Diceros bicornis minor: one gene and its partners. The protein of the gene in region 4 binds, or shares a complex with, the protein of the main gene of each other region. Links are inferred from orthologs where the notes say so. Each region holds a gene or a part of one and is shown on either strand. Other genes may lie near its edges. The genes, in order: CORO2A, HDAC3, GPS2 and TBL1XR1.

Evidence for each region.
Region 1: TBL1XR1 (region 4) and CORO2A share a complex: the UniProt entries of both Homo sapiens proteins name them as parts of the N-Cor repressor complex. The link is inferred for Diceros bicornis minor from reciprocal best matches to the Homo sapiens genes TBL1XR1 and CORO2A.
Region 2: TBL1XR1 (region 4) and HDAC3 share a complex: the UniProt entries of both Homo sapiens proteins name them as parts of the N-Cor repressor complex. The link is inferred for Diceros bicornis minor from reciprocal best matches to the Homo sapiens genes TBL1XR1 and HDAC3.
Region 3: TBL1XR1 (region 4) and GPS2 share a complex: the UniProt entries of both Homo sapiens proteins name them as parts of the N-Cor repressor complex. The link is inferred for Diceros bicornis minor from reciprocal best matches to the Homo sapiens genes TBL1XR1 and GPS2.

The regions. Positions count from the first base shown.
Region 1 is NC_080767.1:8,385,587-8,392,594, reverse strand, and holds the start of CORO2A (coronin-2A), read left to right. Parts: upstream 1-3,998; 5' UTR 3,999-4,108; exon of another isoform or gene 4,109-4,155; intron 4,156-7,008.
Region 2 is NC_080740.1:59,790,389-59,798,131, reverse strand, and holds the start of HDAC3 (histone deacetylase 3), read left to right. Parts: upstream 1-4,729; 5' UTR 4,730-4,781; coding exon 4,782-4,836; intron 4,837-4,930; coding exon 4,931-5,013; intron 5,014-6,326; coding exon 6,327-6,469; intron 6,470-7,743. Other genes in the region: RELL2 (RELT-like protein 2), read right to left, coding at 1,058-1,090, 1,216-1,591, 1,869-2,054, 2,506-2,572, 2,667-2,732, 3,129-3,312. UniProt on the Homo sapiens protein: Histone deacetylase that catalyzes the deacetylation of lysine residues on the N-terminal part of the core histones (H2A, H2B, H3 and H4), and some other non-histone substrates.
Region 3 is NC_080757.1:10,975,601-10,982,561, forward strand, and holds GPS2 (G protein pathway suppressor 2), read left to right. Parts: upstream 1-3,948; 5' UTR 3,949-4,061; intron 4,062-4,206; exon of another isoform or gene 4,207-4,272; 5' UTR 4,273-4,341; coding exon 4,342-4,435; intron 4,436-4,817; coding exon 4,818-4,927; intron 4,928-5,006; coding exon 5,007-5,119; intron 5,120-5,257; coding exon 5,258-5,337; intron 5,338-5,428; coding exon 5,429-5,511; intron 5,512-5,872; coding exon 5,873-6,026; intron 6,027-6,133; coding exon 6,134-6,223; intron 6,224-6,316; coding exon 6,317-6,396; intron 6,397-6,484; coding exon 6,485-6,580; intron 6,581-6,759; coding exon 6,760-6,843; 3' UTR 6,844-6,941; downstream 6,942-6,961. Other genes in the region: NEURL4 (neuralized-like protein 4), read left to right, coding at 436-594, 997-1,176, 1,317-1,404, 1,496-1,603, 1,723-1,867, 2,034-2,146, 2,236-2,401, 3,018-3,222. UniProt on the Homo sapiens protein: Key regulator of inflammation, lipid metabolism and mitochondrion homeostasis that acts by inhibiting the activity of the ubiquitin-conjugating enzyme UBE2N/Ubc13, thereby inhibiting 'Lys-63'-linked ubiquitination.
Region 4 is NC_080754.1:45,360,864-45,368,491, forward strand, and holds the start of TBL1XR1 (F-box-like/WD repeat-containing protein TBL1XR1), read left to right. Parts: upstream 1-4,615; 5' UTR 4,616-4,658; intron 4,659-7,628. UniProt on the Homo sapiens protein: F-box-like protein involved in the recruitment of the ubiquitin/19S proteasome complex to nuclear receptor-regulated transcription units. Plays an essential role in transcription activation mediated by nuclear receptors.

The DNA of each region.
Region 1 (7,008 bases), on a different chromosome or scaffold from region 4:
CGGGCTTCTGGGGCTTGACGGTCTTTCTTGTTTCTGCTAAATTTGTGTCATCTGCTGAGGTGCTTCCACCACCAGACAGTATCTGTGAAGTGTGATGTGGTCTGGGGGGGGGTCCTGGCGGCACCCCAGCAGGCTGGGTGCTGGAGCCCTAAGGGCCATCAGCGAGGAGACAAGGGGTCCAGCCTCCTGCAGCTCCCAGGAGGTTAAAGGAGACCACACCCGTGCTGAGCCTGGGACTGGCACAGAGGAAGTGCAGCCAAGGGCAGCGAGCGGCCTTTCTATGAAGAAAACGTCACCAGGGGCCCTGAGGCCTAGAAAGGCCCAAGGCTCCAGGCCAGACTGGCCCAGTTGGTGCCTCAGACTCCAGCCTTGAAATTCAGATTTTCTCCTCAGCCAAAAAGAAAACAACCCCAGATCAGACGGAGGCTGCCAGGTAAATGGCACCCTCCTCCGTCTTCCCTCCCTACTCCTCCCACCTCTTCCTTCTGCTTCCTCCTTCCCTCATCTTCCCTCCCGGCTTTTCTTCTCCTCTCCTCCACCGTCCCCCCATCCCCCACCCCGCAGAGGAGAAGCTCTGCCCAGAGCTGGGAGCCTGCACCCTCCCCCTGCCCACTGGGGGGCGGTGCTCTGCAGGTCATCCAGCGCTGTGTAACCTGGTTCCCACCTGGCTGCACCATAGGAGCACCTGAGGAGCTTTTTAAAAATATTCCCGCTGGGGGGCCGGCCCAGTGGCGTAGCGGTTGAGTTCGGGTGCTCTGCTCTGGTGGCCCGGGGTTTGCAGGTTTGGATCCCAGGCATGGACCTACTCACTGCTTATCAAGCCATGCTGTGGCGGCGTCCCATATAAAGTAGAGGAAGATGGGCACAGATGCTAGCCCAGGGCCACAATTCCTCAGCAAAAAGAGGAGGATTGGCATCGGATGTTAGCTCAGGGCTGATGTTCCTCAAAAAAATATATGTATATACTCGTGCTGGGCCCGCTCAGAGCCTGAAACCGGGTGCTGGAGCCGGAGCCAGGATTGAGAGCTGCCTGTCCTCGGCACCTCTCACCCGGGCCGAGCTCAGCTGACAGGTGAGGAGCAGGCCTAGGGAGGTTAGCAAGGTTGCCCAGTTACACAATCGCTGTGAGGTGAAGCCACGCTCAAGCCCAGAGGCCCTGACTGCAAAACCAGGGCGGGCCCCTCCCAGCTCACCTTGTCTTCAACACCTCCCCCAGGGACCCAGGGCAAAGGGCGGGCCTGGCCCGTGGCCTCCTGAGTGGCGCAGGGCCTGTGGGGAGAGCTCCAGGCAGAGGGAGATGGGAGGAAGAACCACCCGCCTGAGCGCGAGGCTGGGGCAGGGACAGGGGGTGGGGGTGGGGTCAACCACGGGGAGGCGGGTGGCTGCTGCTGCTCCCACGGAGCCTGCCCAGCCTTCCCCTCTTCCTGAGGGGCATTGGGGCCCACCCCTGGTGTCAGGTTCCTGGCCCTGCACCACAGCTGTCGCCCCATCCCCCGGGAGGATCTGATCCCTCACAGCCCCACCCTCCTACCCCAGGGGATGGGACCTCTAGCTCAAAGCATCCCTCTCCCAGACACGCGCCCCCGCAAGCTGAGGTCCACACTCGGTTCTCTGGGGGAGGGGAAAGGAGTCACCCAGGGAAGCTCCCGGGGCAGGCTCCCCAAGAATGGAGGGACTCCTCAGAGGAGGAGGACGGGCCTGGAGGGCACTTTGGAAGGCCCTCCCCCACCCCAGCGTGGGAGTGCACACTTCTACAGAATGCCCGTGTTCAGGGCCACGCTCCCCCACGCTCAGCCTCACTCCCAGGCGCTGCTGTCCCCTCATTCTCTCTAAGCTCAGGCCCCACTGGGCACAGGGCCGTGTTGTACAGAAAGCTCCATGTTGGGCAGGTGGAGAATCTGCCACACACACACACACACACACACACACACACACACGTTCTGCTCCCGTACCAGGCATTTACCCACACACGGCAGGTTAAACAAAGCTGCCATGTTGACACACCGGGAAGGAAGCTGCTGGTTTCCTGGCCCATCCCAGTCAGCAATAAGACCCAACAATAGGTGCTGGCAGGTGGGCCCAACTTTGGGGCCATGCCTCTTGTGTGGTTTTCTTGCTTGGACCTCTGGGCGGGTCATCCCTACTCTGGCCTCAGTTTCCTTATGTGTGCAATGCGGAAGATGGTTGGGGGTAGCCTTCCTCAAAGGGACCAGGGTTGGGGAAGGGGAGAGGCAGGAGAATGAGGACCCCCTCCCCCACACACACACACAGCATCTCCAGAAAGGCCCCAGGTTGTGTCTATTGTAGAGGCCTCCAGTGTCCTCTCCTCTGGCCCCTCGGTCCTTATGCCTACAGCCCCCAGAGAGGTCCCTGTCAAACCAGCCCTTCCCTAAACTGTCCCAGCCACCTACCATCATGGCAGAGGGGAAAGATGCAGAGACAAGGCTAGGAGGGTGCATCCACAGGGCATCTGGGAAGGCTTCCTGGGAAGGGTGTGGGTGCTGGGCCTGGAAGGAAGGATGAGTTGGTTATAGACAGGCGAAAACGATGATGTGGAAGAGAACTCCAGGTGGAGGGGACAGTGTGAGCAAAGGCACTGAGGTGTGAGTGCGCAAGGGGCTGGCGGGATGCATCGGAGATGTTCGCTCAAGCCCCAGGTGAATGAAGACATTCAGATGCCCTAGCCTTGGAAAGGTTATAAAGCCCACCCCCCAGGTGTAATGAAAAATAAAGGCAATATTGAACCATAAGGAGAAGGAACTCCCACCACGTTCTGATTTTGCCACGTGCTTTCCTGAAACATCAAATATCCAGCTCTTTTATGCCGATGCCCGGAGCCACACTCAGTTGGCCTGCTGAGCAGTCCAGCTCCAAGAAGCCTGGGTCGGCCGCAGGGCAGAGGTTTTGAGGGCCATACCGAGGGGCTGGGCTTTGGACGGTGGGCGGGGAGTCCATCCAGCTCCAGGCAGGGGAGGGGCCCAGTGAACAGTGAACACTGAGTCGCAGCCTTTGGCCCCCGCTGTTCTTTCTAAGGAGATAATCAAGAGCTCCCAAGTTCAAAGCCACTCTAAGTCTCAATTTTCTTATGTGTAAAATGGGCTAATACTAGTGGCTAAGTGAAATACACTTCTCAAGAGAGAGAGTGCGGTGGAGTGGCTATGAGCTCAGGCTTCAGAGCCACACTGCCTAGGGTTGAATTACTGGCTGTGTGATCTTAAGTGAAGTCCTTAACCTCTCTGTGCCTTAGCTTCCTTATGTGTAAAACAGATAAGTATTAGTGTAACCTCATAGGCTTGTGTGACGGTGAAGTGAGGTAATGCATTTAAGGTGCCTGAAACTGCCTGGCTCAGGAGGTGTTGGCCAGTGGTACGTGAAAACGCTGGGCCTCCCCATCTCCTCCGCATTGCCTAGGATGCTCAGGACCTCACAGCCAAGAGTGGGCAGCAGCGCCCCCTCCTGGCTGCCGAGAGAAGGAAGGGAGTCCTCCGCACACTGCGGCGGCCAGCCCCGCCCCGTTCCTCGGGGCCGACTGGGCGGCCTCCGGAATCCCTCTGCCCTCCGGGTTTCCGAGCGCTCCTCCTGTGGCGGGCTCTGCGTGCCCGCTCACACGGGCCGGTAAACGACACCTTCCCATCTAATTCTCGAACAGCCCTCGGAGGCAGACACGGTTACTGTTTCCATTTCACCCAGGGGGAAACTGAGGCTCCGGGAGGTCGAGTCCCCCGCCCCACGCCACGCAGCGAGGGAGCGGCGGACGTGCGGGCGGGCGGCTCTGGCCGTCCCCAGCCTCCGCTCGGTCGCCGCGCAGCCGGCCCCGGTCACTGCGGCGTGTGCGCGCCGGCGCTGTGCGCGTGTGCGCGCCCCGAGACCAGCTCCGGGGCCAGCGGCGCGGTCGGGGGGGGCGGGTAGGGAAGGAGGGGTGGCCCCGCGGACTCGCGGGGCGCGCGGGCGGGGCTTGTGCCGGGCCCCTGGCCCGCCCCCCGGCCCCGCCCGCCGGGCTGCCGCGGAGGCGGCGGCGCTGGGCGCGGGGACTCGGCGGGCGGCGAGGAGCGCGGAGCCGGAGCCGGACGCCGCCGCCGCCACCGCCACCTGCGCGGCCGTCGTCAAGGTAGGGCGGCCCCGCGCCGCCGGCCGCGCCTTCCCGGCCTGCGCGAGGTGGGCGCGCCGCGCGGCGGGCTGCAGCGCCCGGGGAGGGATGCTGGGGCTCGGCGCGCCGCGGAGACCCGGCGGGGCGCGGGGCACCTGGCTTCCAGCCCCTCCGCGTGACCTTGCACAAAGCACTGCTCCTCTCCAGGCCTCAGTTTCCCCGTCGGGATAGCGGGCGCAGTGATGGCCCCTTCCTCGCCGGGCTGTTGGGAGAGGCCGCCCCGAGCTCCAGGCTCCCGACGTCTCGGAGCCCGGATAGGCACTGTCTGCACAGCCCACCCGCAGTGAGGGCCGCTCACCCTGGGTGTGGCGAGCCGGTCCCGACAGGCCTCCTGTGGGGGATGCCCCGCGGGACCCGTGCTGGGACTCTCCCCGTCTTAGCTGGGTGACTTGCTGGGCGAGTAGGGGAAACGGGAAGCGGGGGACACCCCAGGTCCCTGGCGAGCCGGCCTGGGCATGCAGGGCGGGGCGGTCCGAGTCTGCGCGCCAAGTCTGCCTCGCGGTCTGGGGCTGGGGGAACCTTGGTTTGGAGGCGGTGGGCCTCTCAGCCGCAGACTTGCCTGGACCGGACCCATGCAGGCAACCTGGATTTAGGGAATGGTATGGGATGTCCCCTTCCTCTTCTCTGCCTGGTCAGGTGCTGGTGCCCAGCTCTGTGTCCCAGCCGGGTGTGATAGCGCTGGCTCACATCCGTGTGTGGACCCCAGAGGGGCCACAGTGCCAAGAAAGCTGTGTCTAGGTGCAGTTGGGTCTGAGACAGAGCACATGTCTGAGGGACTGTGGATCCAGGCTCTCTGGGTAAAGAAGACCTCTGGCATCTGGCCCAGCCCCTCAGTAAGATCCCCTCTGGAAGGTCTTGCATGTCCCTTGTGATGGGGATCTCACTAGCTATAAACAGAGCTGGAATCTGCTGGTCCTGCTCTGGGCACAGAGACAACATCTGACCCCTCCTCTCCTGGGCCATCATCTGGTCCCTTAAATCTGCTCACCTCCTCCAGCTAAACAGCCCCAGGCCTGGCACTGTTTCTCCTGCCAGAGCCAAAGGGAGCAAAGGCAAGACAGGGAGGTGGGTGTCTGCCCCAAGAGCGAGCAGTGGTCAGCGTGGGGCTTGTTCAGGAGCGGCCTTCATCAGGACTGGACTGTGTCCCCTGTGCTTCCTGCACTTCCTGCACACCTTTGGGTTAGCAGCTGCCTTCGGGGTCTGGAGGGAGGGGAGGAGCCAGAGGAGCCCTCTCCAGCCTCCCTGCCCCAGATCCTCTGCCTGTCTTCTCCTGCTGCCTGCCCTGACTGAGGGACTAGTTTCTGAGAATTGAGTCTGGGCCTTCTGGTCTCCCTTGTACCCCTCATGACCTATTCCTCACTCAGGAGCTTTCTTACAGTCAAAAGAAGGGAGAGACCTCCTGAGCAGTGGTGAGCTCTGTGTCCTTGGAGGTATGCAAGTAGAGGCTGGATGAGCACTTGCTGGGGATGAGCTGCCTTTGACTACAAGTCTGGGAGTCTAGGGTTGAAGCAGAGTGACCACGACCTTGCCTTCTGGCCATGGTGGAGCTGCGCAGAACTCGGAGTGGACCACAGATGAATGTTATCATCCCCTCGTAAAAGCAGACTAAGTATATGTGCTCTCACTCAAGCATAGAGACGACACACAGGCTTAAGTGCTACCTAAGTCTCCCATCCTATCTACGTGTGTATCATCAGGGCCCTGTTTTCTTGCTCGACTGGTCTAAGCCTTTTGGGCCTGATTTAGGGGCATGGCAGATTCTAGTTATTAAAAATTATCATGTGGGGCCAGCCTGGCCCGGTGGCGTAGTGGTTAAGTGCACATGCTCCGCTTTGGTGGCCCGGGGTTCACAGGTTCGGATCCGGAGCGTGGACCTACGCACCACTCGTCAAGCCATGCTGTGGTGGCGTCCCATATACAAAATAGAGGAAGATGGGCACAGATGTTAGCTCAGGGCCAATCTTCCTCATAAAAAAAAAAAATTATCATGCTATGCTAATAATTTGAAAATGCACCATGGAATTATGGAATGTCCAAGCTGAAAGGGATCTTAAGAAGTTATCTCATCCAACCCCCCTTTTACAGATAGGCCTCCCCTATCCCCAGAGGAGATGTGACTTGTCAAAGGTCACAGTAAACCAGCAGCCAAGCCTAAGGATCCTGATTCCACAACCAGAGTGTGTGTGTGTTTGAAAACACATACCACATAGTAAACAAAAGCAGTCTGTGTTTATTCCTATAAAATTAGCAAAAATAAATAGAAAAAGATAAACCTCTGTGCTGGCAAAGCTGTAGGGATTCTCTGGTGGCATGTAATTTTGCAGGGCAATCTGGTAGCTTGTTACAAAAGTCCGTGAAAATGACCCTAACTGCCCTTCGCCCCCAGCCTTCTCCTGTGAGGACTTTACCCTGAAGAAGTAGGTATATAGAGAGAGACGAGTATAATGCTGTTCTTTATAAGAACTTGTCTTGTAGGGAAGAAGCTCTTGGTGTTTTATCTGAGGTTTAATGAACATTTCATGTGAAAAGTACAGCTTAAAAACCAGTGGCACAAAAGTGTCCGTTGCCGGAGTCTGGCCAACATAAAAGCAGTGTGGTCCAGAGGAAGGAAGAGTCAGCAGACATAGGTTCCAGGGTGAACTCTTCCTCTACCCCACTGTGTGACCTTAGGTCAGTCCCCTACCTTCTCTGTACCTCACTTTCCCTCTCTGTGAAATGGGTAGAGTCAATGATTGCTGAATTTCTTCAGCTCTGACAGCCCACGTTCTAGACTTAGCAGAAAAAGATATAATTAAAGAGCAGTGTGCTCCCCGCCATAATTGAGAGATTGGCAGGGTGCGGTGGGGACCAGCAAAGTGTGA
Region 2 (7,743 bases), on a different chromosome or scaffold from region 4:
TGCTGCCCCTATCTCCACACTGTCAGAGAACACCCCCTCAATGATCCAGAGTGATACAGCCAAAGGCGGGAATCTCCCCCATTTCTACTCTCACCTCCAGGAGTAGAAACTTCCCCTCTTCCCATTTCTGGGGCTGGAACCCACTCTCTTTTCCCCATCGTGCTGCTGCCTCTAAGGCTGGAACTACTCCTTTCTCTTCTGCCCCCATCCATCTCTAAGGTGGTGAAATATCCTGAAATCTCTGGGGCTGGAACCCATCCCTCAAAGTCTTGAGTGGCTCTGGCCCATCTGTGTGTCCACCCTGGCTCTGTGACCCACCCCACTCCAGATGCCAGGGCCACTGGTTTGGGGGCTGGGACAGGGGCAGGCCTGTCAGAAGGAGCTGGAGCCAGTATGCGAAGCAGCTGTAATGGTCTGAGCGGATTTATTGACAGTGAATAAAGGGCACGAAGCCCAAGCCAGAGCCTGGGCCTCTTGTGCCAAGAGAGCAGGGGACTGAGGTGCTATTGCTTTAGGGGCCTACCAAGGGCAGGGGCCTGCTCTCAGCTGCCACGCTGTAGCATATGGAGCGAGGTGATGGGGAAGGCGGGTCAGGCGGCCTGTTGGCAGGCGGGGGAAGGAAACAGACTGAGGGCCGGGGGTTGGGGGAACTTCTCCCAAGGTCCCCCAGCCTGAGACTGTGCAACTCCAGGTGGAAGTAGGGCTGTTCCCTCAGCTGGGGGGCAGTGCTGTCCAGTGGAGAGGAGGGGCTTCGTGCCCACCCATCCCCGGCCCTGCCAGCTGGTAGTCCATCAGCGCAATGAAGGAGGAGGCTTGGAGAAGAGCAAGGGTAACAGAGTTGCCTCCTATTCAAGCTGTGTCCCAGCTTTTCCCCGGGGCTGCAGGACCTTCCCTATCCCCTGGAGCACATGTCCACTCCCCACCACCAAACCAAGGAATTTATAGCAAAGGCTAAGCCTGCAGTTTACCCTGGGTATACAGGGAGCCAATGGACTTAGGTAGTTTAAGTAGGGGGTGGGAGGATGACATTTTCTGATTTGGGCCAGGCAGACTCACCTCACACAGCCCCTGCTCCCCGTGGTGGGGACACCTGAGAGAGAGGAGGGGTCAACAATGGGAGAACAGGACATGGGTCATATTAGTGTCCCCCAGCATAGGGGGCAATAAGAGCTGAGCCCACCACAGGCCACCATAGCCCTGGCCATGTCTTCATACCTGGTGATCTGAGGTGTCCAGTTTGCTTGGCTGTCCATTTGCCTCTTGACTGGCCAGCCCTGGGCTTGGGCCCCTCCCTCCAGCCCCCAGCATTGGCTCTACAGAGGCTCCAGGGTTTCTCTCAAGTGCACAAGGGACTAGGCTGCTGTCCCTGAGTCCTCCATTCTGCACTGGGGGGCTGGTGATGGCTGGGGGCTGTGGCCTCTCAGGGGGCAGGCTCTCAGTGGCAGGCATCCCTGCCCTGGGATGCCCTCCCCCAGACCCCTGACCGCCCCCTGGGTCCTGCCCCCCACCAGACCCCCAGCTCCTGTCTGTGGGGGAGCCATCACGATGCTCATGCAGCCCGTAGCGCTTCTCAATGTGTGTCACCCGGAACCTGGGAGGGGAGGGAACACTGGGGCTTAGGACCACAACTCAGAGGCTGCTTGGCCCCTTCCTCCAGCCAGGGATATTCTGGGTTTGATGGCCACTTCCTTCTGGCCTAGGGCAGGGGAGACCTCTTCAGATTCAGGGGCACATTGTGCAGCCTGACTCCTGCTGTAGCTCGTAGCTCACAGTCCAGGAAGAAAGCCGGAGTCAACCTTTGGAGTCAGGTGCCTGATCATTGGGGCCCCCACCTCAACCTCTCTTTCCCTGGGGTACTCTATCCCCACCTGCCCACAGAGAACACGGTGGTCTCCCCAGGCCGGGGGCGGCTCTTTCCTTCCTTGGAGCGTCCCTGACGGACAAGTGGAGGCCTCTTGTTGCGGCTGCAGTGGATGCAAGGGGCTGCAGAGCCCAGGTGCACTGTGTGATGATGGGAGGGGGCTCCGTCCTGCAGGCTGGAGGTAGCATCCATGCTGGACAGTAGGGAGGAAGGGAGAAGGAGTGACATTCCCATTTCCCTTCCTGATCCATTTTCTTCTATTCTTTCAGCGTGCTCCTTAAACCCCCAGATGCCCCACTTTCCCCAGGCCCCAACATTCTTTTCTTGTCTTTATCTAATAAACTCAATATTAAGATGTTAGTGACCATGCGTTCTCCTTCCCACGGCTGTTTTGCTAAAAAGAGAGCAGTACTTAACCCAAAGGAGTGGCACAGGGGGTGAATGTTAGGCTTGATGACATCCAGATGGGACATAGGGTTTTAAGAACTCAGGACTTCTACACAACTTCTTTCTTCCTATAGCTTAGCCAGCCTTGCTCTCGCCCCTGACCCCAGACATGCGAGGAGACTTGGTGAGGAGTGTGCTGGAGGAGAGGGTACTCTCCAAGGTAAGCTAAGTCATGCTGGCACTTGTTTCCAGCTCACCTGGACAGCTGCACTGTCCCTTCTCCTTCACTGTCCCCCAGCATCTCCTTCAAGGCCTCAGCATTGGCTGAAGGGAGAAGGAAAAGAGGGAGTCAGTGGAGGTGGAGGTCAGGGCAAGAGAAAGTCGAGGAGGGGGGAGCAAGGGGCCAGTCTACACCCACCTTCATTTTGGATGATGCAACGAACAATCCTCTCTACTGTGTCCTCATTCATGTCATCGTCCTCAGCTGAAGGATGAAAGAGGTTGGCAAGGAAGCAGGAAATGAGTCAGCTTTGAGGGGACATTACCTGGTGGCTTCTGTGGCTTATTGCTCAAGACATACCCCTTTACCTATTTGCCATCATGCTGGATGTTAGCATTTCAGTGGCCAGGGCAGAAAAGATACGGAAATCAATGGGAGCCCAAGAATACCATCAGTGGGCCCTTCCCACTAATGCTGCCTTCTCTAGCCTTGCTTTCAGGGTGGTGTCACCCCCACTTGCTGACTCAAGAAAGCATCACTAGGTCTCCTGAAGGCTTGGTCGGTTTGGCCTGGGTCTGTTGGCCAGGAAGGCAGAAAGAGGTGTGGGGAGAGGGGTAAGGGAGAAAGGTGACTGAGCCAGGTTCTAGGCTCCTCACTCACGGGGCTGGAGCTGGGCGTCGTCAGGCTCCGAACCCCTCGAGGTGCGGCAGCGGTACCCCTTCTTCTTGAGCACGTGGCAGATCATGAAGCCTACAAGGCCCATGAGGAAGAAGACCAGCACAAGCAGGAAGAGCATGTACAGCCCATGTTGGGGCGGCTCCAGATCAGGCTGTGGTTCCGACATGAAGCCCTGGGGGGCGAGCGCGGGCCAGGGCGCCTCCTGGGGTTAGGGGGCTGCAGCTAGGGATGGGGGGAGGGATAGGAATGCCGTCCTCAAGATCCGAAACAGGCGAGCCTCCCAGGTCCGGCCCCACCCCCTACCCAACCAAGGAGCTGTCCGTGTCAGGGGTGCTGGTCCGGGCCAGGGGTGCCAGACGGCGGCTGCGCAAGCCCTCTTCCACGACCCTGGTCCCGCTTCCCCGACGCCCAGAGGGTTTCCCTTTCCAGCTTGTCCTGCGCTTCCGTCCCTCCCAAGGACACTGCAGAGTGAGATGGGACGGAATTCTCAGGCGGCCGGCGCAAGAATCCCACCTGAGTCAGCGTTCGCACCTCCTCCGCGCCGGCCTGAGCCAGGCCTCTGCAGCCCACTCCCCTGCCTGTACTCCCGCACACCCCTCCCTTTCGATTCCTCCCATCCTGACCGCCTGGCCCACCCGGTACCGGTGGTTTGGTTCTGGCTCCGGCTCCGGCTCGGGTTCCGGTTCCAGGGGCGTCCTAGTCCGGCTCAGGGCCCCCGACGCCCTCTCGGGGCTCATCCCTTGCTTCCTCCCCCTCCCCCCTTCGCCGCCTCACTGGCTCCGGGCTGCGGCTGCAGATACCGGTGCCGCGGCAGGCGGGGGGAGGGAAGGATGGAGAAGGATGCGGGCTGGTTGGGAGCGGCGGCAGGCTCTGGACAACTCCGGCCCTGGGAAGGGGAGGAGATGGGGGGCGCCGCAGCCGCCCTGCTTCCCAAATGCCCTCGCCCGTCGCCGGCCCAGGACCAGGGGGCGGAGCGCAGGTGTGCAGGGCGGAGAGCTAGAGCCTTGCGCGCTTGTGAGCGCAAGTGTGGTGCGCGCGTGACTGCGCCGGGCCCCCCTCCCGGGGGAGTGTGCGGCGCCAAGTCTGGGTCCTGGTCCTGGTAGGGACGACAGGCAGTCAGGCGAGAGTGCTCTCCACTGGTCTATCCGGCACGCCTGGCGCGGATCCCGCCCTCAGATGCCCAGGCCGGGTGGATAGCCGGGAACCTTCCCAGCGGGCCGGGGAAGTCGGCTTTCTGCACCCGAGAGGGACAGCGTGGCCGGTTCTCCGGAGCCTCCTAGAGAGGTGACCACGGCCTGCGCCCCGTTTGGGGCAAGTGGCTGGATGGGATGGCTCAACTTCCCGAGCATATGACCCCCGCCTGGAAGGAAATGGCCCTCGCATCCTAGGACCAATGCTCTCCGTCCTCCGCCCAAGCCCAGACGCTCACGCCCCAGAACCTAGAAGGGCGAAGCAGGGCAACTGCTAGAACTGCGCAGGGGGCGTGGTCTGGGCGTGGGCGTGGTCTAGGGAGGCGGGGCCTGGACCTCCCGGTTCCGCAGAGGCCGGCTGCGTGCCTACGCAGCACGTACGACGGGGGGTGGGGCAGGCGGCCCGGCGGGTGGCGGAGGCGCGGGGCCTGATCCCGCCGGAACCATGGCCAAGACCGTGGCCTATTTCTACGACCCCGACGTGGGCAACTTCCACTACGGTGAGGGAAGAAGGTTATGCGCGAGGGGTTTCGGGACGCGGAGGTCTACAACTCTAGGGATGGGAGCTGACGAACTCTCTTCTCCCACCCCCAGGGGCAGGGCACCCTATGAAGCCCCATCGCTTGGCATTGACCCATAGTCTGGTCCTGCACTACGGTCTCTATAAGAAGATGATCGTGAGTCCCGTCGTCTCTGCTGGGATTTGAGGGTGGGGGCGAGCTGTGGCCCTAGGGGTAGGTAGGCTGCACTGAATGCACCAAGTACGACCCACCCCTGAAGTGGGGGGAGGCTGGATAGAAGGAACCAGGAGCATCCCCCATATGCGAAGTGTTGGTGGGTGCATCCCCTGACTTAATAGGAGTTACTTTTTCACCTTAGGTTAGCCACCCTTTGACCTCAGGTGGACCAACCTTTGACCTAGGTTAGGGTGGAGTGGGGCTGGTTTGAAGACAGAAGGTGTTTTCCTCCCTCGCATTTCAGGATGTGGGCAGTGCTGTGGCCTCAGGAAAGGGAGAGGGGCTGGATCACCGAATCTGGGTGTGAGGTTACTCTCAGTTCCCACCCCTTCTTTGCCACCTCTCTCCGCCTCCAAGGAGCTAGAGCTCCAGGGAGGACTCTGCTGCCCTGTGTGTGAGTGTGTATGTGTGTGTGGAGGAGAGCAGGAGATGTCCTGAGTATTCCCTTTCCAACCTAGAATACCCCTACATGGGTAATCACTACCCAACCCTCACATGCTGTCTGTCCCCACCTTAGAATTTATTGCTGTGATATGCAATTATAACAGTTAAGCTCAGCCCTTATGCATTACAAGGGGAATTAGTCAACAGTATGAGTGTCCACTGCTTGTGCCGAGGCACAGAGAAGTGAACTGGTCGTAGAAAAGACTGAGGTGATGTTAGTGCATGAATCTATGAATCCCTTGAAATTTAGTCTGCCGCTGTATGTACCTGTGTGCATTTTTTGGGGAGAGAAAAGCTTTTTGTTCTGTCCAATTTCTAAAGAAGTGTGTAAACGCCTCAAAAGATGATAAATCTCTGGCTAAGCACCTTGGCACTTTGGGTTTTAGTTAGAAGGTTGTCATATATCCCATATTATTTGACTCTGAAATTAAGAACTCAGAGGAGAGAGAGGACAGAATCAGAGTCCAGGGGTGGAGAGGACTATGGAAAGAAGCAGGAATAGGAGATCCGGGGAACAGGGCAGGTGGATCAGGGCTCAAGGTTGAGAAAGTAGGAAAGGCTGGACTGGAGGTGAGAAGGAGAAGCCAACCCCCATGGTCTTTAGGGGGCTTGACCATAATAACCCACCTGGCTAATTGGAGCTTCTCTTCTTCACTGACCTTTGCCTCCTAGAATAACACGGCTTGAGGGGTCAAGGGATTGCTGTATGTAGTTTTGGACAGTCCCCAGGGCTGGGTTCAGTGTGGGTGGTCTCAGTCCCATTAGTGGGACTGACCCTGCCTGGGTTCATCTTGTGTTTCCATCCTGAGGTCTTCAAGCCATACCAGGCGTCCCAGCATGACATGTGCCGCTTCCACTCTGAGGACTACATCGACTTCCTGCAGAGAGTCAGCCCCACCAATATGCAAGGCTTCACCAAGAGCCTTAATGCCTTCAACGTGGGCGATGACTGGTGAGGGGAGGACTGGGACTTTTGATGCCAGGCACTTTGATGCCAGGCATTTCAAGGAGAATACTTGAGTGAGGTCTTGTGGTAGCAGTGGGAAGACATGAAGAGGCCTACTTGTCAGTGAATCATCATTTACCCATTTGTTTATTCAACAAATATTTACTGGTCATTTGCTGTAGGCCAGGTCCTGTGTTAAGTGCTGGGGATGCAGTGATAAACAACAACAGCAATATTTTAATATTATAGTTGTGGTAAGTCCTATGAAGAAGAGGCACATGACAGACCATGGGAGTGTATATGTGGAAGAATTATCCAGCTTGGGAGTGGGCTAGTCAGTGGAGGCTTCCTAGAGGAAATAATGAAGATTGAGCTGAGATCTGAAGAAAGAGTAGGAGGAGGTAATTAGGTGAAAGGTGGTTGGGAGGATAGAGAGTAGGGACAGGAATGTTGTGGGCAGTAGGGAGAACATGTGCTAAGGATCTGTGCTAGGATAACGTGTAACTCATTTGAGGAACAGAAAAAAGGCAGACCACAGAATCTGAAGAGAAGAGTGATCTGAATTGAGGTTAGAGGTAGGCAGGGCCTTTAAAAAGTAAACAGCCCTATTATGAATTGGGGTTTTTACCCCTAGAATAGAGGGAAGTCATCGAAGTATTTTAAAAAGCAAGAGGGTGATCTGACATGATCAGGTTTACATTGAGCTTGTATCATAGCAAGAAGACTCAGAGTTAGGCCCTGTGGAGAAGGGAGTGGACAGTGACGATAAGCCATGATCCTTGCTTACATTCTAGTATACATCCATGAAAATACAGTGACCATAACAGCTACCTTTACTCAGTTTGTTTTTAAACTTTTTATTAGGGAAAATTTCAAACATTTCTGAGAGTAGACTAGTACAGTGAACCCCCACATATCCATCACCCAGCTGCTACACTTATGAGCAAATGGGCAATCTTACTTCATCTGTATCCTCTTATGTTAGTTAGATTATTTTAAAGCAAATCCCAGATGTCATATCCTTTTATCTGTAAATCCTTTGTTGTGTATCTCCAAATGATACTCTTTAAAAAAAAACCACACAATATCATTATGACATCTCAGAAATTACCAGTAATTCCTTAATATCATTGAATTTGCAATCAATATTCAGATTTCTTCAATTGTCTTATAATTTTTCTTTTTTGCAGTGGAATTATTTAAATTAGGATCTAAACAAGGTCCACACATTGCATTTGGTTGTATGTATTCCGTCTCTTAAGACTTTTAATCTGTAATGT
Region 3 (6,961 bases), on a different chromosome or scaffold from region 4:
TCCTGGGCTTCTGTTCATACGCTTTGGTGGGGGTTGTAGGTCAGTTAGCAGGAAGCGCTCACATGGTGACTCGTGAAGGAAGCAGTAGGGAGTGGCTGGGGGAATCCAGGGGAGATGCCTGATCCTATATGTGGGAACAGGGAGGGCTTTCCAGAGGAGGGGGCCTTTCTGCTGTAAACTAAAAGATGTCAGCCAGCTGAAGGAAGCCCTTAGGGACAAGAATTCTTACAGAGGCCACAGCAAGACCAAGGCTGAAAGAGGGAAGAAAACAACTGAGTTTGCAGTTTCAGGTCCCTCCAAGCATCAGGAGGGGCAGCACCCCAGGCTACACTCTGGCAGGTGCTATCTTCCCTCCCTGGCTGGGGTGAGGAGCCTGGTTCTGCTGGGCATCTTTCCAGGAGGCCATGATTGGGGAATAGTTGCCTTCTCCCCCAGGTGCGGATCGACTTCCTGAACCGGCAGTGGACATCTTCCCTTGTCCTGGGAGTCATCACCTGCCCACCAGAGAGGCTCAACTTCCCTGCTTCTGCCTGTGCCCTCAAACGGGCAGCCTGGCTGCTGCGGGGCCATGGGGTCTTCCACAATGGTCTCAAGGTGGGTAGGGAGCAGAGAAAAGGGAGAGGGCCAGGTCTCTGAGTAGGGAGGGGCTGGCCAAAAGAGAGAAGTGGGGCCCCTGGCCTGGAGGTAGGACCACAGGTAGAAAGGGGCACTGTAGTGGGGGGACCCTGTGGTGGGTGGGCAAAGGCATGTGTCATTACCTGGACAGTCTTGGGCTTGCCGCTGCCTCCTGTGTCTCTGCCATGGAGAAGGTGGGGGAAGGGGAGGTGGACTCTGGGTAATTGTCGGAGGGCGAGGGGGCAGGTAGAGCCCAGACAGTGGGCAGGCCTGGAGGCAAAGCCCAGGGACTGGCGATCTGAAGTTTAGTGAAGGGCCACTTTAGTGGCCCCTGCCAGTGGGAGTCTGATCTCTGGCAAGACAGTAGGTCTCTCCTCCCAGATCTATGAGAAGTTTGGGCCAAATCTGGACACGTGTCCTGAAGGCACCATCCTGGGACTGCGGCTAGACAGCTCCGGGGGGCTGCATCTCCACGTCAATGGGATGGACCAGGGGGTAGCTGTGCCAGATGTCTCCCAGCCCTGCCACGCGCTCGTGGACCTCTACGGGCAATGTGAGCAGGTGAGTGGCAAGGGAGGCAGGGAGAAAGGAGTGCCTGGGAGACTGGGCTGTCTGAGGAAAGGAGAAGTCTGGTCCAAGGAGGGGGTCAGCAGGCCCTGGGGGCTGGTCACGCTCTGGCTGACCACCCCTCTCCCCTGCAGGTGACAATCGTGAGCCCTGAACCAGGAACTGCTAGTGGGAAGAGTGCTGGAACCCAAGGGGACATGGAGAAAGCTGACATGGTAGATGGTGAGCCAGCCTGAAGGGACCAGGATCCTACCCCCCCACCCCATACTTCTAGCCACAGCTCCTGTGACCTTTGCCCCCTCTGCTCCCTCAGGTATCAAGGAGAGTGTGTGCTGGGGTCCACCGCCTGCTGCTAGCCCTCTCAAGAGCTGCGAGTACCATGCCCTTTGCTCCCGTTTCCAAGAACTGCTGCTGCTTCCTGGTGAGCCCCCAGTCCCCCAGAACCTGCCTCATTCCCTGGAGATCAGTCGGAAGGAGGCCATGTGGTTGAGACCCAGGGTGGGAGCCACAGCACCAAGTCTGCCACTCACTCTCCTGCAGAGGATTATTTCATGCCTCCGCCGAAGCGTAGCCTGTGCTACTGTGAGTCTTGCCGGAAGCTGCGAGGGGACGAGGCCCACAGGCGCCGTGGGGAGCCTCCCCGGGAATACGCCCTGCCTTTTGGCTGGTGCAGGTTCAACCTCAGGTACATATGGGGCAGGATCATGAGTCTCCCTTACTGTTTTTAGCCCCCTTGAGAAAGGAGGGTCCCAAGAGGCTGTATGGGAAGAAGTGACAAACTTCATGTTTAGGGGATAATCTTGGGGAGCCAGTGACCTTTGTCCAATCTGCCCTATCTGTCCACCTCCTAGGGTGAATCCCCGCCTGGAGGCTGGGACGCTAACCAAGAAGTGGCACATGGCGTATCATGGGAGCAATGTGGCAGCTGTCCGGAGGGTGCTGGACCGAGGGGAGCTGGGAGCAGGTACCGTGGCACCGGCAGAAGCAGGGCAGGTATGGCAGGCCGGGCCTGTGGGCCACGGGAGGGCTGCCCTGACCCACCTCTCTTCACAGGCACTGCCTCCATTCTAAGCTGCCGGCCCTTGAAGGGAGAGCCTGGGGTAGGGTTCGAGGAGCCTGGCGAGAACTGCGCACCTCCTCGGGAGGAGCAGCCCCCTCCAGTGCTGCTTTCCCCCTCTCTCCAATATGCTGGGGCCGAGACCCTGGCATCCAAAGTGCAGTGAGTACACGGGGGTGGGGGCAGGTGGGTGCCAGGGACACTTGGGTCTCCATGATTTGCTTTCTTGTTCCCACCTTGTCTTGCTAGTTCCTCAGTCTCCACCCTAGCCCTTTCTTCACACATTCATTGAACAAATACCACTTATTTTGTTCATTTCACTGAACATTTTAATGTTTTGTTCATTTCATTTCGATGAACAAAATGGGAATCTTGCTCTTGTGGAACTTATGTCCTCTCTTGCTCTAGAATGTTTATGCATAATAAGTATTTAGTATTTTTAAAAGTGACCAGTAAGTACTATGGAAACAAAAAGTAGAGTGGGGTAAAGTGGATCAGAAGTGTGGTTGGAGTGGGCATATTAAATAGGGTAGTCAGGGTAGACATCCTTAAGAAGGTGAGATTTGAGCAAAGGCTTGGAGAAGGAAGTGAGGGAGTTAGCTAAGTAGGCATTGGGAGGAAGACCAGTTCAAGTAGAGAGAATGGCTAGACCCAGGTCTTAAAAGGTGGGAGTGATTCCTAGGACCAGCAAGGCCAGTGTGGTGGTTGCCTTTAGCAAGGGGGAGAGGTGATGGGGGCCAGAGGCCTCACTGCCCTATTTCTGCTTCTTGCCTGACAGATTCCGGGACCCCAAATCCCAGCGGACCCACCAGGCCCAGGTGGCGTTCCAGGTGTGTGTGCGCCCTGGCTCCTACACCCCTGGTCCCCCTTCCACTGCCCTCAGAGAATCTCCTGACCCTCACTTTACCCCAGCCGAACTTGAGTGGGTAACCAAGGAGAAGGGGGCCACACTCCTCTATGCCTTGCTGGTACGGGTGGAATGAGGGGTGAGACCTCACTACTACAAGCACAGTTGGGCCTTGGGCCTGTGGACTCTGAGTGACGACTGCCTCCAACTCATTCCAGTGACCCATGGCATGCACAGGTGCTCAGTCTGGCAAATGCACAGGAGCGTGTAGGCAGGCTCTCAGATTTAGATGGGAAGTGGAGCACATCTCCATGTCCAGGGCGCGAAACACTCCCTCTGAGGTGAGGGAGCTTGTGGGGAGCCCAGCTCCAGGCCCTGGGTAACTCCTCTTCATGCACTGATTTGGGGAACACGACTCCCTATGATTCCCTCCCCCATATCACTTAATTTATTTCCGTTTTTGTTCTTGGTTACTGTGAATCCCAGAGGAGTCTCCCTGTGCCCCACATGAAGCTGCTTTTTCCGGGGGCCACCGGGCGGGAGTGGGGAAGGGCGGGTGCAAGGCAAGATGGGGGCCCTCTGTACAGTTGTTACTGACTCTGATTTCTAAGGAGCCAATAAACACCGTCTCAAAGCACCCGCCTCCGCCTCTCTCTCGCGTGCCCCTCGGAGGATCCCCTGCCCGCTGGGGCTGTCCCCGCTGTGCCCGGCCCCGCCAAATTAGAGGCCCCGCCCGCAAGTCCAGAGCCCGCTTGGGGCGCCCCGCGGCTGGCGCGCGGCCAGGAGCAGCGCCGGCTGAGGCGCAGCGACGGGGTTTGGACGCGACGGGCACCCGTCGCAGGCGCTTCCGCTTTTCCCTCTCCGCCCCACCCGCGAGGCCGGCTGCTGCCCTGACTCCGGAAGGACTCGGGCCAGTTGCCGGATGTGACGCAGCGGCCAAGGCGCGCAGGAGGCCGCGGAGAAAGCAAAGAGAAGGCGGGTAGGGAGGGGCCGGCGCCCGGGGCTGGCGGGGCAGTGGGCGGGGAGCGCCGCGGCCGGAGACTCGGGCCCCGCCCGCGCACGCGGTGGAGCCGCGGCTGTCTTCCGGGCCGGGCTGGGCGGCGGGCGCCGGACACGTGACCGGGGCGGCGGGCGGGCTTCCGCCTGGGCCGGGTGCGGTCCCTTCTGAGCGCCCGTCTGCCCTCAGGCCCGGTCCGAGGTCTGGCAGTCAGTGACAGAGTCGGGCACCCACAGCCCGAGCGCCCCCGGCGGCACCATGCCTGCGCTCTTGGAGCGCCCCAAGCTTTCCAACGCCATGGCCAGGGCGTTGCACCGGCACATCATGATGGAGCGGGAGCGCAAGCGCCAGGGTGAGCCGGGGCAAAAGCGGGTAGACACACGGCCCAGGGCGGTACCGCTACCCCAGGGCTGACTCCGACCCACGGGCCGACCAATGCGCTGGCCGTCGAAGTTAGAGGAGGGAAGGAACAGCCCCGTTGTGGTGGGAGTTGGAGACCAGGTCTAAACTCCAGAACCCTTGAGCTGGGAAGGACCTTGGAGAGCACCTAGAAAAACCTCCCTCTCTCTGTCCCCTGTTGCGTTGATGGGGAAGCCTGTCCCCTCAAGAGGGAAAGAGCCCTTACTAAGAGCATAAAGAAGTATTGGGATAACCAGTTTTTGCTGTTCTTCAATCTCTAACGTTATATTTTAACCACACTGCAACTTGCTCATTCTGCCTGACTCTTTCTCCAGAGGAAGAAGAAGTGGACAAGATGATGGAACAGAAAATGAAGGAAGAGCAGGAGAGAAGGAAGAAAAAGGAGATGGAAGAGAGAATGTCACTAGAGGAGACAAAGGAACAAGTAAGCAGTCCCTTGCTCTCTCCCAGTTCTTCCTTCCCTTAGCTCTCCTGCCTTCATCTTCTCTCCCCTCCCTTCCCAGATCCTGAAGTTGCAGGAGAAGCTTTTGGCCCTACAGGAAGAGAAGCACCAGCTTTTTCTGCAGCTCAAGAAAGTTTTACATGAGGAAGAAAAACGAAGGCGCAAGGAGCAGAGGTGGGATTGGAGAGCTAAAAATAAATAAATAAAATTGGGGGCAAAGTGTAACTGGGATCAGGTAACAAAAGGTCCCTGTTTAATAATGAAAGAGGGAGGACTTGTCTTTGATTTTGACCAGCCTTCCTTTCACTCCAGTGACCTGACCACTCTGACATCAGCTGCGTACCAGCAGGGCCTGACTGTCCACACAGGAACTCACCTCCTCAGCATGCAGGGTGAGGAGTACAGAAACCACTTGTCAGAATGGGCCCTCCTGGGGGTTGCAGCCCCCCATTTCAGCATCATGAAGCCCCTCTCCCTCTCTAGGGAGCCCTGGAGGACACAATCGCCCAGGCACCCTCATGGCAGCTGACAGAGCCAAACAGATGTTTGGACCCCAAGTGCTTACGGTAAGAGGAGGATTGGGTGTCTAGCCTGTTGTTTTTCCCTACTTCCACCCAGACCCAGGCATCCTCCCTGGACCAGTACAGTCATGCGTTGCTTAACGACAGGGATATGTTCTGAGAAACATAATGGAGTGTACTAACACAAACCTAGATAGTATAGCCTACTACACACCTAGGCTGTATGGTGGTGATCTTATGGGACCATCGTCGTATATGTGGTCCATTGTTGACCGAAACGTCGTTATGCAGTACATGAATGTATCAAACACTTAACTGTATAGGGAAAAACGGGGCATACACAAGTCCCTGGAGTTTCTGCTTTCAAGGAGTTTACAGGTAGTGAGTTCTCATCCTCTCTCCTTAGACCCGGCACTATGTGGGCTCAGCAGCTGCTTTCGCAGGGACCCCAGAGCACGGGCAATTCCAAGGTAGCCCAGGCGGCGCCTATGGGACTGCTCAGCCCCCACCTCACTATGGACCCACACAGCCTGCCTATAGTCCTAGTCAGCAGCTCAGAGGTGAGTGGTGGGAAAGAGGGAGGGGGGCTTTTCTCAAGGCCCAGAGGGAGGAGTGTCAGAATCAGGCTAAAGAAGGTTCTAATGGCTGTGCCTCTTGCCTTTCTCAGCACCTTCAGCATTTCCTGCAGTGCAGTACCTGTCTCAGCCACAGCCACAGCCCTATGCCGTGCACAGCCACTTCCAGCCCACCCAGACAGGTGATAACACCCCACGCAGGGACCCCAGTTCTGAGTCCTCCCTTTTTCTTTCCCGTTGTCTACTCATTTCACACACTGCTTTTCCCCACCTAGGGTTCCTCCAGCCTGGCAGTGCCTTGTCCTTGCAAAAGCAGATGGAACACGCTAACCAGCAGACTGGCTTCTCTGATTCAGTGAGTATGGAGCCTTGGGAGGTCAGGGTAAAGGGTTACAGTAAGGGGACCCCCAGGCTGCCTCTGATTCTAACTCTCTTCTCTGCAGTCCTCCCTGCGTCCCATGCACCCCCAAGCTCTACATCCAGCCCCTGGACTCCTTGCCTCCCCCCAGCTCCCTGTGCAGATGCAACCAGCAGGAAAGGTAAGGATTGGTAACCAAACCTGTCAGAACCCCTACACTACCAGGGAAAATAGAATTGGGTAGGACAGGTAGCCCACACCCCTGCTTTTTCCTTCCTCCTTGGGGGTGGTTGTCAGTAAGGGTATGAAGAAAGGAGAATATGCATACTGACAAAGCCCTCCTTTCATCGCCACCACCAGTCGGGCTTTGCAGCAACCAGCCAACCTGGCCCTCGGCTCCCCTTCATCCAGCACAGCCAGAACCCACGATTCTACCACAAGTGACCATCGGATTTTATCTTCAGCCTCACCCCCACCCCCTGCGATGGGTGAGGGTCCCTGGTGTGTCCCAGTCCTAGGCCAATAAAATCTATCTGCCACTGCCCCTGGCTACTACTGTTTG
Region 4 (7,628 bases):
TACCTCGCCTGCTAGCAGCTAGGTATGGTCATGTGCCCAAGTTCTGGCCAATAGAGTATGAGTGGAAGTGATAAGTTCAACTGCCCCAAGTCCTGAAAGAGAAGGCAAAGCTCTCTATTCTCCTTCTTTCTGGCCCAATGGCTGGAATTTGCATGTGATGGCAGGAGCTAGAAAAGCCATCTTAAATGAAAGATATGTGTTGAGATCATAAAGCAGTCTGCACCCTTGATACCTTATCCACTCTAGAATGCTTACATTTGAATGGCCACGTAAGAGAATAAACTGTTATCTTGTTTAAGCCATTTTTATATCACCTTTGTTATAGAAATCAAACTACAGCCTAATACAGACGTATATTTTCTGAAAGTCTGTCTGCCCTCCCAACCCCCACCTGACACAGGACCAGAATGTATATTCCAAGAGAGTAAGGGCTGTGTTTGGTTCACGGTAAACAGTTTCTTGAACAGTGCCTGGCACACTAAGCATTCAATAAACGTTTGTTGAATGAATGAATAGCAAAACTATCAACATAATGCGAGGCCTTGAGTGCTGCCCTGAGGAAGCACACGGCTGGTCAATAGAAGTAAGTACTTGGTACAGCACTATGCTCTGTGTGTGGGTGGTTTTCTGTGCTGACTGAATCACAAAGGCAGAATCCAACCTGCTATTTCCATTATCTGAAAGGCATAAATACTTGTAAGATGGTTGTGTGTTGCTTTTGTAATTTAAATGAAAACTCCCAAGTAAAGTTCATTGTGGTAATGAAATCGGGTCACAGAGTCATGGAAAACTGTGACAAGGTTCACACTGATGAGGAAAGGTCAGAAGTCACACACTAAGCACAGAGGGAGAAAAGGAGATCTCAATGTGCTGAGATCTTAAGATGTGTGGCCGAGATCTGCATCAGTCCGGATGGCAAAAGCTGATAGCTGGAAGAACCACAGACAAAGAATTGCACAAGTTGAGTCAAAACGAAACAGAAACGTATCACATGGTATCAGCAAGACGCTTGGGGGCACACACTGCAGACGTAAAGCCACTGAGTTCCTGGGTGAGTAAAGAATATACAAAGAGTTATAGTGTCGGGATAATATTTTTGGTATCAAATATCTTTTTCATGCTTTTAAGTTGGTTTTGAACATTTTAATTACATAGATCAGCTAATGCAAACAACATAAAACATCATGGTGGCTTTAAAAATATATATAGTAATGAGATCCTATAACCTGGGATTAAGCCACCTTAACTTTAAAATGTTCTATTTCCCGAGTGATGAAAGTTGCAAAAGTATAGGCTATCTTGCCATACCACACCCCCTGGGTGTAATATTACTGAAATAAAACAAGTCAAGATTTGTTTAGTCATTTTATAATATATATATAAAGTCTGGTAACAGTTACTGGTATGAGGTTTCTCTTTGTTGAGTAATTAGCTAGAAAGTTCAAGAGAACTTTCTTAATGTGCCTCTGCTTTAAAATTTCTTAGTAACAGAGTAATTTCTCCTTTCTAGAAACATATTAACATTTATATTCAAAGCATAAGGACAGCTTTTAGATTAGGACAAAGCACTGAAAACTGGTAACAATAATTAACTTTGTCCTTACATTACTCCTGTGTCTAATTATTGCTTGAATTGTATAAAGTGAGGCCTCTGATCTTGTATACTAGATAAGTTGGAATGGCTAGAGGGTGGGGTAGCAATACATGTGAACTTTGTATGGTGGCTCATCTATCTGAGGATTTCATGTTGCAGCCACGCTGTCATTTCAGAGTTTCCAGAATATAGAAATTGAAGTGATCAAAATATGATCTCACTTAATACCCCTTGGTTGGGAGAATCAAGGCTTTTCCACATTTAGTGCTTTTTTTGTCCAAAGGTACTTCAAGTCTATCTTTAGCGAGCATGGCGGATGAGGTGCATTTTACTGGAACTAGTTTACGGCAAAGCTCCCCACCTTTGGTGATTTTTATCATGGTATTTAAATGAAGTAATTTATGCACAGAAACATCTTATAACTACAAGGATGTAAACAAACGCATGGATTATGATTATCATTACGATAACAAGAACTCCTGCTAGGACGGGAGGCAGCTTGGTGTAGGGTATAAGAACTTCAGGGTGGAAGCCCTGGACCCTATGAACCTGAAGGAGGATGGGCTCTCCCTTGGAGATGGAGTGATAGAGATCATTTTGAGGGATGATAAGTTGGGGGCCCCAAGTTTGGAGATGACCCTATTAACTAGGGTCGGTGTAGTTTGGAAATCCTCATTCACTGGAAAAGTGGTTTGATTTTACAGCAGCCGGTGCTGAGAAGACCCATGTGTGGTGGCCAAAAACAAGCTAGGCCAATCGATTTGTCTCACTGGGTGGCTCAGATAATGAAGCCTAATTGTACTGAGATAGTTTGCTTATTGAAGAGAAGATTATGTTTAGTAACATACATATGTCATTAATCAATACTTAAAAACATTTAAAAAAAATAGGAAGGTACTATACCCTCATCACTTCGGAAATGGTCTTTGCAAAGGTGCGAGCTCTGCAGTAAGCCTTAGCTTAGAACGTCACTGAAATGCAAAACTTGCTCTCTTTGTGCTGTTTGCCCGAACACTCAACACAGTGTTTTGGAAACCGGCAGTTATCTAAATTCCCATTGGGTGACATTGTTTAATCTAACATTCCCTCTTTCATATATTAAAATAGCTCTGAGGACGAACTACTGAGATGCTGTGAACTCTCTTCTGGTGGTTGTGAGGGAGTTTCCAATCCCACTCCCTTTCCTCTGATGGTTTTCCTGCTCCCTCTCAGGAAAGGCTTCTGGCTGCTCCCCCTCCCCGCCAAGTAAGGGCTCATCAGGGGAAATAGCCTTTGACCTTGGCCAAAAAAGCACCTGTCTAGTCACTGAGCTTATTAGGCCACCCGGAGTCCAGATGTGTGAAAGATACTTCGAATGAACTTTTTTTTGGTGTGAAAATTTAGGTCTCTGATATTGAGAGGAAAAGACTATTGCTTTAAAATAGTGACTACGTCTATTTCCAAATATTGTGATGAAAGCATGAAAACAGAACCCCTCATCTAAAAAGGCTGCAAAAAATATTATTGTACTTTGAATTCACCAATAACTGAAAATAACAACAAAAAAGTTCTCTTTTAGGTCAAATCTTTAAAAGGACAGCTGCTTTTTATGTTCTAGGCTTATACAAAGATCTAAGACTCCCAACCCCTGCTTTCTGAGGGCCTCGGAAAGATAAACACATTCGTTTTAAGAACTGTGAGGTGCATCCCTTTTTTAAAACACCCCTCTGCCCTCCCTTCCTTCATTATATTGACACATTATCACTCATCTAAGTTATACTTTACAAACTGCCTTGATGTGCTACACACATGCAAAAAGTACACAAAGTGGATAAACTTCTACTGTCGATGCTGCCGTAGAGGTATATATTTAGTAAACATTTAGTTACATTATTTTATTTTTGTGAAATGAGAACTGATCGACCAAACCTTTCAAGCAGACCCACCAGACGATAAATACCACCATATGTTTGATTCACAGTACATTTGGGCATAAACACTTCAATTACAGCTTTGTGTTTAGCATCAAAACCCTTTTCTTGCGTGTGTGTGTTTTCTCTCCAGATCCCGTGCTCCGGATTACATTGTGAAAATCGCTGCTTACAGATAAAGCACCTCTCCAGGTACGCTTCCGAGAAACATATGTATTTATGCACACAAAGGTGTGTGCAGAGCTTTGTACAAACACAGGTCCATATGATGCCTGCGCCGCGCTTCCACACATGCCCACCGCGGGGGTGTGCCCAGCCGGCCCCGCCGCGCCGCCGGGGTGCCCGCGGGGACTGGCGGCCCCCGGACCCGCAGGAGCCCCGCCGACCGCCCCGCCCCCAGCGGGCCGCGCGGCCCACACCCAAACGACTCCGCACCCGGCCGCGCGGCGGTGGGGGCGGGGCGGCCAGTGCCCCGGCGGCGCCGCGAAGCGCCTGCGGGTCTTTCTTTATTTTTAAAAGCCTGCGCCGCACCCGCCCAGCCCCCCGCGCCGCCGCGGCGGGCGCAGGGAGAGGAGCGAGGCCGGCGGAGCCCCCCCCGCCGCGCCGCCGCCTCCCCGCGGCCGCGCGCCCCTCCCCCGCCGGCCCCTCCCCCGCGCGCCCGCCCGGCGCAGGCCGCTCGGGTTTGTTTTGCTGCGCGGCCGTCGCCGCCGCGGGCCTCGCGAGCTCATTTGTGCCTGGCTGGTCCCCATTCCTCTCTCCCCAGTGTTGAGTGTCTGAGCCGTTGGCTGCTCCGAACCGTTTGGCTCTTTCCCTTAGTAACAGCTTTTACCTTCTGCCTCAATTCCTCTCCCCGCTCGCGCCCTTCCCCCGCGCGCCGCCTCCCCCCGCCGCCGGCCGCGTGCGCCCCCGCCCCTCCCCCCGCGGCGGGAGCACCTCCGCTCGCCACCTGGGGACCCGCGCCGCGCTCCCCGCCCCCGCCCGCCCGGCGCCCATCCCCCGCGCCCTCCGCTCGCCGGGGTTATAATTGCCTCTCACCCCCCGGAGGGGTTATTTTGGGGGTGGTTGGAGGAGGCGGCGGCGGCGGCGAGGAGGGGAATTTCCTTGTGCCTCCATTCCCGGGAGGGGGGAGCGGCGTCGGAGGCCACCGTTTCCAGGTAAGCGCTGGGGGCCGGACCCCGGGGTGGGGGCTGCCGCGGGCCGGGGCGGGGGGCGCAGGCTGCGGCGGCAGCCGGGGGGCGCCGGGCCGCGGGGGGATGGGCGCCAGTGGAACCTGCATTTTTCGACTTGGCCCTTTGGAGAGCTGGGGCTGGGGTGGGGGAGGGGAAGGAAGGGAAGGCGTTTGGGGTACTCCACCCCCCCTTTTCCTCTCTCGGGCTTCTTTGAAATGCTCACGTGCCTGCCCACCCCCTACCCTTTTTTGGTCTCGGGGGATCCTCACCCTTAGGATGTTGTGGTCCCCGAAAATGTGCACCTCGGCCTTCTTCCCTTCTTCCACCCTTCGTGCATTTACACCCCCTTTTTCCGTGTGTGTATATGTGGGGGGAGGCTTTCAGGGAAGAATTTGCAGCAAATTGAATCAAGGAGCCATCATGAGGCCGACTCCTTTATAGCCTATTTTTAGCGGAGGAGAGGGCTCTTTTCGGTGCATGTTATTCTGTGAAACCTCAGGCAGCAATGGAAACAGGCTCCCCTCCGCGGGCGCGTCCCCGGCCCGGGCGCGGCGACCCCGGCCGGCGTGCAGGGGGCTGCGGGCGGCTGTTGGGGCCGCGCGGGCCGGGCGGGGGCGCCGGCGGGGGAGGGGCGCGCGGCCGCGGGGCCGCACTCCCGGGCGTGTTTATTTCCAACTTAGTGCTTTTTACCGTCTTAAGGAGGCATTTGATAGAACCTCTTTGAAGTTGGGTTCAGAAGTGTAGAATTGGTAAAGTTATTGCCAGCTTCCTGGTAAGTTTTGGGTCGCACAGTCACATTATTTTCTGACAGTGTAAAGGCCACGTTGTGAAGGGTGGTTTCTCGGTAACTTCCTCTTTGCAACCGATGTCAGTTTTTGAACAGAAGCAGACTTTTATTCCAGTGAAATTATTAATCTTAAATGGCAGCTCGAGGGAAGCCATGCATGTGTTAACATGTTCAGTATTTTTGGAAGTTCCTAATTTGCTGAAACAGGCTTCACTTTGCAGTGGCAACCGAGATTAAATTCAGGTTGTGAAAATGGTGTGTTTCATGTAAAATTTGGGTTGTGATGGCTCTTGAAAAATGCTCCTCTTGCTAGGTTTTCTAATAATAGTCTCTAAAGTAATTTGGTGATTACAAATGACAAGTGTTGGAACCTAGTTAAAAACTAGATTTTCTCAGTCTCTGGAGTTTACATAAAACCTTGGACTGTGCAGACACCAAGGTGAACAGTTTTAGTACCTATGTGATTTACAGTTGACTTAGGGGAAGTTTACTCTTGGTTTTCTTGTTTTCCAAACAAGAACCTTATGCTAATATAAACAAGCTTGTTAATTAAATATGGTGGGTGAAATGATGGGTTATTTTTAGTCTAAATGGTTTATTTTCCCTTCCTCCGGGCCACCCATGTAAGCAATCATCTTCCTCCCCCTTTTTTCCTAAAGGCTCCTTTATCAGATTGGGTAACATAATGCCCTCGTGGTGTTTTTATCGACTTCCCTAAAACAAATTGTAATTAATAGCCTGATTGCCTATTGAAGAGACAGTGAGTGACTTTTTTGGCTTTCCCAGTGTGGTTCATTTTCGTTTTTGTTAAATGAGACCTGTGCTACATTGGTGTGTTTTAGTAATCCTGACTTCCTGGGACTGTATGTTCTCACCATTTTAATAAGTTTATAGTTTGGGGAAATAGGGCAGCGTTGTCTCCATGAAAACGTCTTCATGAAACGTATGTCACGTTGTATCATGGGAGTTCATGCAAGCTTTGGAAATTATCATTGAGGGTTCTAGAAATAGTTAGCATTTATGGGTGGAGGAGGGGCAGCAGAAAGAAAATATGCCTGAGAGTGGTCAGGCATGTGATGCATGTTTATACTTTTTGCTCTTAAATTGAGGTTTTCCTGCTTGTTTGGAATATGATTTTTTTTCCAGTTCTGCTGTCATGCACTGTGTGATGTATGTAATCACAACCATTAAATCCTTGAATAACTACTATTTTTTTTTTTTTGCTATTTGAATAGTTAGAATCACACCTCTAGGGCAAAATACTAAACTGTGTGGGGGATGAAGACAGTGTGTCCATGGAAAAAGTTTTTCTTACTGTTAAGAAACTTGTCAATGGCTTAAAAATTGTTGCAAAGCTCAGCGTCAGTTGCTGCCAATACACACCAGCTTTCGTTATTAATGTGGGAGACACCGTGGTCAATGAAGAGGCCCCTTGTGGAGGTTGTATTTTTTGCATTGGTTGCTTCCAGGAAGTGTTAAACATTGTGATAACTTTTTACATGTGTCCAGGAATCTTTTTGTTACTTGTGTTCTCAGCATCTAATTGAGGTTTATTGTGATACATGCCTACTAAGAGAACAAAAAGTAACTGCTTCCTGTGTGCTGGGAGCCTTTGTAGCTAATACGTAGAAAGGGCAGGAGCTTAATATAAACATTGGGGTTACTGATCAAGAAATCTGACTAATAGACCTTTTGAATGACAACCTGTTGAATAAATACATCTGTTCATATGTAGCAATGAAATGTAACTACAGCCTTGTCAAATGAGTAGCTGACAAAGGAATCCTTCTGCAATTTACTACAGCGGTATTACTACAAAGGATTTGTGACTTGACACATTTTAATAAAGTTAGGAGAAATAGTTTGTTGGGTTTCTTCAGTTTCTGTTTGTTTATATAAAAAGAATTGAGAGGAATGTGGATGGTAGTCAGTGGAGATGGCAGAAGTATTGGCACTGCCTAGGACTTTGTATTTTTCTAGTACATGTGAATTTGACTCACTTCACAAATAACATTTACAGTATAAGTCACTGAAATGCGAAAAAAGAAAGCAGCTAACATCAAGACATTTATACATCCCCGTAGTCCAGAAGGACTAGGACCCCGGGGCTGTGTAGTAAAGAATTGATGAGTGTGGTCCAGTTTGGAGACCACTCTGGTAGTATCTTC